Linked DNA regions of Anolis sagrei. The protein of the gene in region 3 binds, or shares a complex with, the protein of the main gene of each other region. Links are inferred from orthologs where the notes say so. Each region holds a gene or a part of one and is shown on either strand. Other genes may lie near its edges.

Region 1 (3,752 bases), on a different chromosome or scaffold from region 3:
CCTTTAGAGAGAAGGGGGATTTCAAACCAAGGCAGCCTTCCAGGTCTAGCAATCTATTTCTTTACTGACTTATTATTTACTTTTGGCCAGCACTGTCTGATGTGTCAACATGTTTAGATCTCCCTCTGTTTATTGCAAGGACCAACTACTTCTTTACCTTGACAGGAGAGGGGATTTCCAAAGCCACACAGCTCCCCGCCTACCAATCTCGATCAGTTTTCCTCTCCCTAGTGACTGAATAGGCTGGGTATTTCTTTACCTTCCGGGATTTCAAACCAGCACAGCCTAATCTAGCAACACATCCAGATCTGTTTATCTCTCCCTAGTTATTGAATAGGCCAAGCGCAGCTTAGCCTTCATCAGGGTGGATTTCAAGCCATCCCAGCACTCCTCCTCCACAGAACTAGAAATATATCTGGTTTTCTCTCTAGAGATCTAGTTAACTACTTCTTCGCCTTAGCCACGGCCAAGCCCCCCCCCCTCAATCTAGCAACACATTTGCTCAATTTATGCCTCCCTACTTATTAAAAGAGGCCAACACAGCTCATTTGCCTTTGCCACTGGGAGAGGGGGGAGGGATGCTTCAAACCAATGCCCCCCATCTGCCAAACTGTGTTTACCTACTTATGTCAGAGGTCAGCTACTTCTTTACTTTCTCCATTGGCAAAAGGAGGGGGGAATCTGTTGGGGATTCCAAATGAACATAGCCTGATCTAGCAACCTCTTTAGATCTGTTTATCTCTCCCTACTCACTGAAGAGGCCTAGTACACATTTGCCTGTGCGTGGATTTCAACCCAACACAGGCAACAGACCTAGCTCTGGGTTGCTGTGAGTTTTCTGGGCTGCATTGCCATGTTCCAGAAGCATTCTCTTCTGATGTTTTGCCTGCATCTGTGGCAGGCATCTTCAGAGGTTGTGAGGTCTGTTGGGAACGAGGCAAGTAAGGTTTATATATCTGTGGAAAGTCCAAGGTGCAAGAAAGAACTCTTGTCTGCTTGAAGCAAGAGTGAATGTTGCAGCTGACCAGCTTGGTGAGAATTGAATGGCCTTGCAGCTTCAAAGCCTGGCTGCTTCCTGCCTGGGAGGGTATTAGCTGGCCCTGCCTGGACTCAAGCAGACAAGTGTTCTTTCTCCCACTTTGGACCTTCCACAGACATATAAACCCCACTTGCCTAGTTTCCAACAGACCCTTCAACCCCTGAGGATACCTGCCATAGATGTGGGCAATACGTCAGGAGAGAATGCTTCTAAAGCATGCCAATACTGCCCGGAAAACTCACAGCAACCCAGTGATTGCGGCCATGAATCCTTCGACAACAGACCTAGCTCTATGCCTCCCTCTTTACTCATTTCAGAGGCCAACTGTTTATTTATCTTCTCCACGAGGAAAGGGGACGTTTGTGGAGGGATTTCAAATCAGCACAGCCTGATTTAGCAACGCATCCAGATCTGTTTATCCCTCCCTAGTTATTGAACAAGCCAAGTACCTCTTAGCTAGCAACATCAACAGATCTATGTGGCTCCCCCCTCCCACACCCCGCACAACCTAAACACACACACACACACACAATCTAGCAACAGATCTATCTCCATGTATCTCTCCCTACTCATTATCTAAGAGGCCAGTTATCCTCGCCAGGAGGGAAAGGGGATTTCAAAGCCACACAGCCCGATCTAGCGACATCTTTAGAGCGATGCCTCTCTGCCTACATATGGCCAGGGGGGCAAGCAAGTCCTGCGATCTAGTGTGAGTGTGTGTGTGTGTTTATGTGTGACAGACTGGGAGATTATCCGGATCATGGCCTCCTTGTTGCTGGAACGGGAGAACCCTGCTGTTGCCCCTTGGGCTAGCTCTCCAAACTCTCAAAAGCCCAGGCAAAATAACAACAGCAGCAGCAACAATAATATAATAATTTAATAATAGATGGGCTCCGGCGCTTTGCTCGGGGCAAGAGCCAACTTCCAGCACTCTTTTTTGCTCCCAAGAGGCATCCACAAGAGCAAACCTTTCCACCTTCGTCTCAGCCTTCCTGCAATTACCCCCTTCCCCAAAATAAAGGGTCGCCAAAGGGGAAAGGAAACAGACTGTCGCTCTCCCATCGCTCCAATCCAGAGAGGAAAGGCAGCCAGCCAGCGTTGCAAGAAGCCTTCCTCCTCCTCCTCCTCCTCCTCTTCCTAGCAGCTTGTTCCTAGAGCTATTTCTGGCTGCTTTTGGGAGCCAAAGCCCTAAAGGAGGAGGAGGAGGAGGAGGAGGAGGAAGAGGATGGGGCCGCTGCCTGCCTGCCTGCCTCTTGCAGCAGCCGAGAGCCCTTTGCCAGGTCGAGCTGACTCACCCCGCCAGCCCCCTGCTTCGGAGGGAAGGTCACGATCCGGCGTGGATCCTCTTTGGCAGCCTCCAGGCAACCCGGATCAAACTTTGGCCCCATCTACACTGCCCTGTAATGCAGTTTTGCGACTGCCTTGCAGGGCCGGCGTGCAGACTCACGTCCTGCAGTTTGAACCGAGTCTCAAGCCGCATTATAGGGCCGTGTAGATGAGGCCCTCTTTTCTGGAGGAGAAGCCACAGCGAGAGAGAGTCTCCGAGGGAGGAAAGAAGGGGGGGGGGTGGAGGGGTTGCACAATCCAAAGCCAACTCTCTGCTCCCCTCCTCCATCCCAACAGAGGAAATAAATAAATACATCCAGGGTGGCAGGAGAAAGTTGTAAACAAGCGGTACCTTTCCGGGGGAGAGCGGTGCGGTGCGGTGCTGGATGCCTCCCTCTCTGAGTCACCCGGAGTACAGCTCCGGCGAGGGGAACTCGATTATGAATATGACTTCATTGATGACAGGCGAGCCCTCCTCTTCCTAAACTCCCGGCCCGCCTCCTGGCTCCGCCCACTGCCTTAGCTCCCGCCCCTCCCTCTTCGGAAAAGGCAGGCGCGCTCCCATTGGTCCAATTGCGCGGCAAGCTCCCCCGCCCCCTCTAAAGCCGAACGCGGCGCCGGGTTGGATAGAGAGAGCTGTCCATCAAAAGCTTACAGTCGCGCGCTCTTGTTTTCAAGAATTGTGGAGACAAGCTAAGCGAGAGGCGGAGGGGGAATGTCGTGCGTACGCGCATGCGCGGGAAGGAAGCGAGCAGTGCTCGAGGCTGTCCCTGCCTTGTGCGCGCAGAATAGAGCGGAAGGTCTTCGCTGCAGAATTAATACGGTTTGGCACCACTTTAGTTGCCACGGCTCAGAGCTATGGAATCCTGGGAGTTGTAGTTTGGTGAGGGACAAAGCACTCTTGGGCAGAGTAGTCTAAAACGTCGCTGTTCCCACGATTATTGAGCCAGGCAATGAAAGTGGGGCCAAACTACATTATGGCCCCTCTTTTTTCATCTGTCCCTTTGGGGCAGGAAGGAGGGCGGACTGCCAAAAGCAACCCATTTGTGCCAATCAGCTGCCCTTTCAACTTTCAAGTATCCCTTGATGAAGTCCTGGCACCAAGAGCTTGTTTGCTAAGCATACACCCAGATGGAGAAGCAGCATTGAAAGCTATTCTAGAAATGTGTTGTCGAAGACTTTCATGGCCAGAATCATTGGGTTGCTGTGAGTTTTCCGGGCTGTATGGCCATGTTCCAGAAGCATTCTCTGCTGACATTTCACCTGCATCTATAGCAGACATCCTGAGAGGTTGTGAGGTCTGTTGGAAACTAGGCAAGTGGGGTTTATATAGCTGTGGGAGAAAGAGCTCTTGTCTGTGGAGGCAGGAACAATGGCTTCAAACTAC
Region 2 (3,752 bases), about 39 Mb from region 3:
GGATGCTTGCCATAGATGCAGGAGTAACGTCAGGAGAGAATGCCTCTAAACCATGGCCATATAGCCCAAAAAAACCTACAACAAACCAATATCAATATTGTTCTATGATAAATGGTAATAATATATGATATAACAGTACTAATATTAATAATATATGATAGAGTTGGAAGAGACAATAATAGTAATAGCTAATAGTCATAGGTAAAGTAGGTAAAGTCGTGTCCAACTCTGGGGGGTGGTGCTCATCTCCATGTCTAAGCTGAAGAGCTGGCATTGCCTGTAGACACCTCCAAGGTCATGTGGCCGGCATGGAGCACCGTTACCTTCCCACCAGAGCAGTTCCTATTGATCGACTCACACCTGCATATTTTCAAACTGCCAGGTTGGCAGAAGCTGGGGCTAACAGCGGGAGATCACCCCGCTCCCCAGATTTGAACCTGTGATTTTTTGGTCAACAAGTTCAGCAGCTCAGTGGATAATAATAATAATAATAATAATAGAACAGTGTTAATATACATGATAGAGTTAGAGAGACAATAATAATAATAGACCAATATTTATAATAATAATAATAATAATAATAATAATAATAATAGAACAATATTAATATAAATACTATGTCCTCTAAAGCACCTTATACTGATTTAGGATTGGGTTGTTGTAGGTTTTTTCGGGCTATATGGCCATGGTCTAGAGGCATTCTCTCCTGACATTTCTGATTTAGGATTGTTTGAATGTTCCCTCCAACGCCCCATCTCCCTATCTTGTTCATGCCCAGCATTATTTTAAATTTTAATTACATTTGGCCCAGCCATAGATTTTAAATGTGTGTTGTGCTATTGTCAATGTTTATGCTATTTGTGTTTGAGATTTATTTTAATTGCTTTGTATTGTTGTTGTTATTGCTTGTATTGATGTATTGTGGGCTCAGCCTTATGTAAGCCGCACTGAGTCCCTTGGGGAGAGGGTAGCGGGGTACAAATAAAGCTTTATTTATTTATTTATTACTGGTCTATTATTATTATTGTCTCTTCCATCTCTATCATGTATTGTTGATATTAATATTGTTCTATCGTGATTAATATTAATAATACCGGGATTGTGGCGCAGCTGGCTGAGTGTCAGCTGCATTAAGATCATTCTGGCCAAAAGGTCATGAGTTCGAAGCCAGCCCGGGTTGGAGTGGGCTTCCAAGCAATTGTGTGTAGCCTGTTGTCGACCTTTGCAGCCCAAAGGACAGTTGCATCTGTCAAGTAGGAAAATTAGGTACCACCTTAAAGTGTGGGGAGGCTAAATTAACTGATTTATGAGGCCATAAAGAAGACTCCAGCAAAGCATTCCAGCGGGGAAGCATGCGGGGAATGCGGAAGTGCTTCATCAGCATCGCAGATGGACGAGGAAAGCAGCCAGAAAAAGTTAAATAGCCTCTGTGTATGTCTGTATATGTTTGTATGTAAAAAATTGGCACTGAATGTTTGCCATATATGTGTACACTGTAATCCGCCCTGAGTACCCTGTGGAGTGAGGAGAAGGGCGGAACATAAAAGCTGTAAGTAAATAAATAAATAAATAAATAAAACATGATAGAACAATATTAATAATCTGAATGCAAGGGAATTCCAGACATGAAACGATCAGCACCAGTGAACACCTCCCAACAAAGGATTCCCCCAGGCAGGAATCAGCCAGGCCTTGAAGCTGCAAGGCTGTGCAATGCTAATCAAGGTGATTAATTACAACATTCACATTTGCCTCCCACAGAAAAAAGCAACCCAATATTATTAATACATGATAGAGTTGGAAGAGACTTAATAATAATAATAATAATAATAGAACAATATTAATATTGTTCCTATTATTATTATTATTATTAAGTCTCTTCCAACTCTATCATGTATTGTTAATATTAATCATGGTAGAAGAATATTAATAATACAGGATAGAGTGGTTAAAAGATACCACATAATAATAATAATAATAATAATAACAACAACAACAACAACAACAAGATGGGGAAGAAGAAGCGACCACAAGGCCCAATCCACCCTTCTCCTTCTCCTGAATGAAAGGAAGGCAGGCCAGGCCTCCTCCCTCCCTTTCCCTTCCTTCCTTCCCTTCTTCCCCTTCTCCCCGGCTTCACCTCGGATCCGATCATGTAGAACTCGCCATCTTCTTCCAGCTGGAACTTGACGGGCTTCTGCCCGAAGGTCTTGCTCAGCGCCATCATCATCCTACGCCTCACAAGAACAGGAGGAGCAGGAGACGGACTGCGCCTGCGCCGAGAAGGGGGCGTGCCTGCCCTGCGTCATCACGGGCGCGCCTCTTCCGGCACTTCCCATTGGCCACTTTATCCCCGCTTCCTTTTCGCGCCTTTAACGGGGCGTGGCTTGTTGCTAGGGGCGACAGTCTAGCGTCGAGCGCGGTGACGCAGCCCTGAAGGACCCCAGAGAAGGAGAGAAGGGCTGTCTTCCCCACTGCCTGACTAAAGCGAGGAACTCTTCGAAACCGTGGTGGGGGCGTGGCTTGTTGCTAGGGGCAACGGTCTAGCATCCCGTATGGGAAAACCTGAAGGACCCCTGAGGAGAGAAGGGCTGTCCTCCCCACTGCCTGACTAAAGTTCTCTCCCTCACTGCCTGACTAAAGCGAGGAACTCTTCGGAACCGTGCTGGGGGCGTGGCTTGTTGCTAGGGGCGACGGTCTAGCGTCGTGCGCGGTGACGCAGCCCTGAAGGACCCCTGAGGAGAGAAGGGCTGTCCTCCCCACTGCCTGACTAAAGTTGTCTCCCTCACTAGGTTCTTGTGGGTTTTTTCGGGCTATAGGGCCATGTTCTAGAGGCATTCTCTCCTGACGTTTCGCCTGCATCTATGGAAAGCATCCTCAGAGGTTGTGAGGTCTGTTGGAAGTAGGAAAAAATGGGTTTATATATCTGTGGAATGACCAAGGTGGGACAAAGGACTCTTGTCTGCTGGAGCTAGGTGAGAATTGGTTGTTTTCGGGCTCTATGGCCATGGTCTAGAGGCATTCTCTCCTGACGTTTCACCTGCATCTATGGCAAGCATCCTTAGAGGTTGTGAGGTCTGTTGGAACTAGGGAAATTGGGTTTATATATCTGTGGAATGATGTCCAGGGTGGGGCAAAGAGCTCTTGTGTGCTGGAGCTAGGTGTGAATGTTTCAAAAAGCCCACCATATGGTTCAGATATGTGGATGACACCTTCACCCTTTGGAGCCATGGAGAAGAAGAACTCAACAGGTTCCTGGACCATCTGAACAGCATCCACCCAAACATATGGTTCAGAGATGTGGATGACACCTTCACTATTTGGGGCCATGGAGGAGAAGAACTCAACAGGTTCCTGGAGCATCTGAACAGCATCCACCCAAACATCCAGTTTACCATAGAAAAAGAAAATGAAGGAAGACTGCCTTCTCTAGATGTCCTCGTCATCCGCAAACCAGATCAACAATTGGGTCACACCGTCTACAGAAAACCCACACACACAGATAGATATCTACATAAAAACTCCAACCATCACCCAAGTCAAAAAAGAAGCCCCATCAAAGCCTTGGCAGACCATGCAAAAGGAATCTGCGAAGCCCACCTCCTCCAAGATGAACTGAACCACCTCAACTGGGCTCTCCAGGCCAAGGGAGACTCCACCTCAGGCATCAGAAGAGCTGCAAGACCAAGAACAAGCCACGAGAGTAAAGAGGAAGATCCACCCAGAGGAAAAGTGTTCCTGCCAGACATCAA
Region 3 (3,752 bases):
GCCTAGACTACATGTCCGAACGTATCTCCTACTACGAATCATCACGAAGTTTAAGATCGAAGGCTTTCATGGCCGGAATCACTGGATAGTTGTAGGTTTTTTCGGGCTATATGGCCATATAGCCCAAAAAAACCTGCAACAACCAAGTTTAAGATCATCTGGAAAGGCCCTGCTCTTGATCCCATTGCCACTGCAAACGTGATTAGTGGAGATGACAGGGCCTTCTCAACAGTGGCTCCCTGTCTGTGGAATTCCCTCCCCAAAGACATCAGATTAGCCATCTCCCTCTTGTCCTTTAGAAGGAAACTCAAGACTTGGCTGTGGGACCTTGCATTTGGCCATTGAATAGTGGCATGTATGAAGAAGACATAAGCAAATTCGAAGTGACAATTAATTGAGCCAGACCAGAATTTTAATTGGTGTGTTAACTGTTTATGTGAGAAGGGTGGGGTGCAAGTATCTGAAATAAATAAATAAATAAATAAATAATATTCTGGGATACAGTGCTATGTGGAAGGGCCCTTAGTCCACACTGCCTTATATCCCAATTCAAAGCAAATGTGGGATTTCATCCAGCTGTGTGGAAGGGGCCTGTCTCAAGAAAGGCCGTCAAACCCCAGCTTGGAACATTGTTTTAAAAGGCAATTGGTTGCAGCAGCAACAACTCAAATACTTAAGCCACCATCCCAAAGTTGCTCAGGTTGTATGGATTCATCACGCTCCTCACGCAATGCCGATCGATGACGTCATCACGTCATCCAGCACGCTCTCTCCTCCTCCCTCCTCCACTTTTCCCTTAGCTTGGAATTCAAAGCAGCACTTTCACGTCGTTGCCACGGCAACCTTCGGAAGAGAGGACGTCTTGAAACTCAAGAGGAGGAAAGTATATGTGTACTGTTTAAAGTGGAATTCGAGAGGATTTTCTTGTTAGGTTTTTACCTTTTTTTCTTACCTAGCGAAAGGGAGGTCTGTGTGGAAAGTGCTGAAGCAGGAACGGAAATAGTGAAATAGAGGCCGCCTCGCCGCCGCCTTCCTTCTCCATCCCCGCCTTTCTTGGTTCGTGTCGAGACAAAAGAAGCGAGAGAGAGGCCTCGAGTCCGAGTGGGACGCGGGTGAGTCTGAAGGACGTGGCTGGGGCTTGGCTGAGGAGGCATATTGGGGTGCGGGACCCCAGAAATCCTCCTTCCTCGGCCACGCCAAAGCCAGAGGCCTTTCCAGGCCGGTGTGAAGGGAGGCCTGTTTCTGAGAGGAAGGTTTTTCTTCATCGTTGTCGATTATAATTAACGCTGAGGCCGACTTGAAATATACTGCAGTATTATCATAATGCAGTTAAAGTGCGTTGTATGAGTCTACACTGATCATACAATACACTGGTCGAAATACCTTCTGTTTTTTTTAATTTCTTGAATTATATTATTTATTTTCTCAATTCCTAATTATTATAATGATTTAATGATTTAATATTACTTCTTTTTTTGTATAAGTAAGTTTTATTTTGTTTCCAAAAGAACAAAAGAAAAACATTACAAAAGGGGAGGAATTTCTGAGTATTCCTTGCCTAACAAACGCCTATGAAATTCATAATGTTGTCATAAGTCGACAGGCAACTTGCATATATAAATGGACACACTCTTAAAACCAACACTTAGTAATACAAAAGAAAAGAATTATAAGTACTCACTTATTAGATTGTATTATTTCCCAGATATGAACAGGAAAGAACCACCACAGTAATACTACTAAAAGGTAAAGGTTGTCCCCTGGCATTAAGTCCAGTCATGTCTGACTCTGGGGGTTGGTGCTCATCTCCATTTCTAAGCCGAAGAGCCTGCGTTGTCCATAGACACCTCCAAGGTCATGTGGCCAGCATAACTGCATGGAGCACTGTCCCTTTCCTGCTGGAGCAGTACCTACTGATCAACTCACATTTGCATGTTTTTGAACTGCTAGGTTGGCAGAAGCTGGGGCTAACAACAGGAGCTCACACCACTCCCCAGATTCGAACCTGCTACCTATTGATCTGCTCACATTTGCATGTTTTCCAGCTGCTAGGTTGGCAGAAGCTAGGGCTGACAGAGGAAGCTCATGCCACTCCCCAGAATAGAACCTGCGACCTTTCGGTCAACAAACTCAGCAGCTCAGCACTTTAACCCACTGTGCCACCGGGGGCTCCAGTAATACTACTACTACTACTACTAATAATAATAATATAAACCCTTATTTATATTCCACCCTATCTCCCTGGGGGACTCAGGGCAGATACCAACATACAAAAAGGAAAACATTCAATGCCTCAATAATTTATTTATTGTATTTACAACATTTATATGCCGCCCTTCTCACCCCAAAGGGGACTCAGAATGGCTTACAAGAGATATATATATATACACACACAATATACTGTATTAATAGCATAGTACAATAACAGTATTAAATATTACTATATTGTATTATACCATTATATTGTAATATTATTAGTAATATTACATGTAACATAAATATATAATTATAATACCATATTATTAGTAGTATTATATTGCATTACATTAAAACAAATAAGTGCCAGCAAATAACCCAAATTAACACCACATATGAAGACATTAGAACCTAACATCAATAAATTAAACACAACATAATCAACAAAGTAGCCTAACCTTTCCAAGACATACGTGTGTGCTTTCCACTTACAGAACCATGAAGCCAGCAGGAAATTGTAAGTTACCTGGGAAGGTCAAGAGGTTGAACATTGTTTCCATCCTAAATATCTTTGTGTCATCTTAGATTGAACGCTAACATATAGGAAACACTGCAGGAACACCAAACACAAAGTAGCTGCATGCAATAACATCCTGCAGAAACTTAACTGGCAGCACATGGGGTGCAGACCCAAAATTAATAAGAACATCTGCCCTGGCCTTGTCTTACTCAGCTGCCAAGTATGCCTGCCCTGTTTTATTATTATTATTATTAAACTATTTGTACCCCGCTAGCATCTCCCGAAGGACTCGATGCGGCTTACACAACTCTGCCCACGTGAAGCAAGTGAACATAGTGATGAACAAAACATACAGAGTGATCACATAATGTCTTAAACCTACACCTGTTGATAAACTCTACAAGCTAGCTGGCATTCCCCCCCCCCCCCCATGTGTCACAGGAAGTTGCTACTAACTGAGAGAAATAAGGTTGAACACTGAAAGCCATCCACTGCATGGTTATCAGCCTCCTCCCAGTAGACTAATCAAGGAAAAGCGTCATGTGAACCACCACTCATCTTAACGTTTTCCCAGAAACAGCAAGAGTATCGTTCTAAGCAGCTAATCCAATTGGATGCCCCCCCCCCCCACGAGGATCTGTCTCTAGGGGCAAACTAAGAATGGGAAACTTGGAGGTCCCCGAACAAACTCAGAAGTGGAGTGGACAGATCACAAAACAACCTGACAAAATGGCACTACCTAAAAGAATCCTCCACCTTGTGTGGCTACGGAGCAGAACAGACAACTCCGCATCTGTATGCTTGCCTGCAATGTCCTGCCTCATGTACAGAAAAAGATTTGTTTGAGGCTATAGACCAGGGGTCCCCAAACTACGGCCCACGGGCCACTTCCGGCCCGCCAAGGGCCCCGATCCGGCCCGCAGAGGAGGAGCGCCCCCCCCCCCACACACACACACACACAGTGCCCCTCCGTTGGCAGGCTCACGCTATCTATCAGGCCTGATGGACAGTGTGAGCCAGCCAAGGGAGGCTGCTC

Evidence for each region.
Region 1: SMARCE1 (region 3) and SMARCA2 share a complex: the UniProt entries of both Homo sapiens proteins name them as parts of the BAF complex. The link is inferred for Anolis sagrei from reciprocal best matches to the Homo sapiens genes SMARCE1 and SMARCA2.
Region 2: SMARCE1 (region 3) and SMARCB1 share a complex: the UniProt entries of both Homo sapiens proteins name them as parts of the BAF complex. The link is inferred for Anolis sagrei from reciprocal best matches to the Homo sapiens genes SMARCE1 and SMARCB1.

Annotation. Positions count from the first base shown.
Region 1 is NC_090022.1:220,641,950-220,645,701, forward strand, and holds the start of SMARCA2 (probable global transcription activator SNF2L2), read right to left. Parts: upstream 2,865-3,752; 5' UTR 2,718-2,864; intron 1-2,717. UniProt on the Homo sapiens protein: ATPase involved in transcriptional activation and repression of select genes by chromatin remodeling (alteration of DNA-nucleosome topology).
Region 2 is NC_090026.1:666,704-670,455, reverse strand, and holds the start of SMARCB1 (SWI/SNF-related matrix-associated actin-dependent regulator of chromatin subfamily B member 1), read right to left. Parts: upstream 2,273-3,752; 5' UTR 2,231-2,272; coding exon 2,141-2,230; intron 1-2,140.
Region 3 is NC_090026.1:39,307,269-39,311,020, forward strand, and holds the start of SMARCE1 (SWI/SNF-related matrix-associated actin-dependent regulator of chromatin subfamily E member 1), read left to right. Parts: upstream 1-987; 5' UTR 988-1,112; intron 1,113-3,752. UniProt on the Homo sapiens protein: Involved in transcriptional activation and repression of select genes by chromatin remodeling (alteration of DNA-nucleosome topology).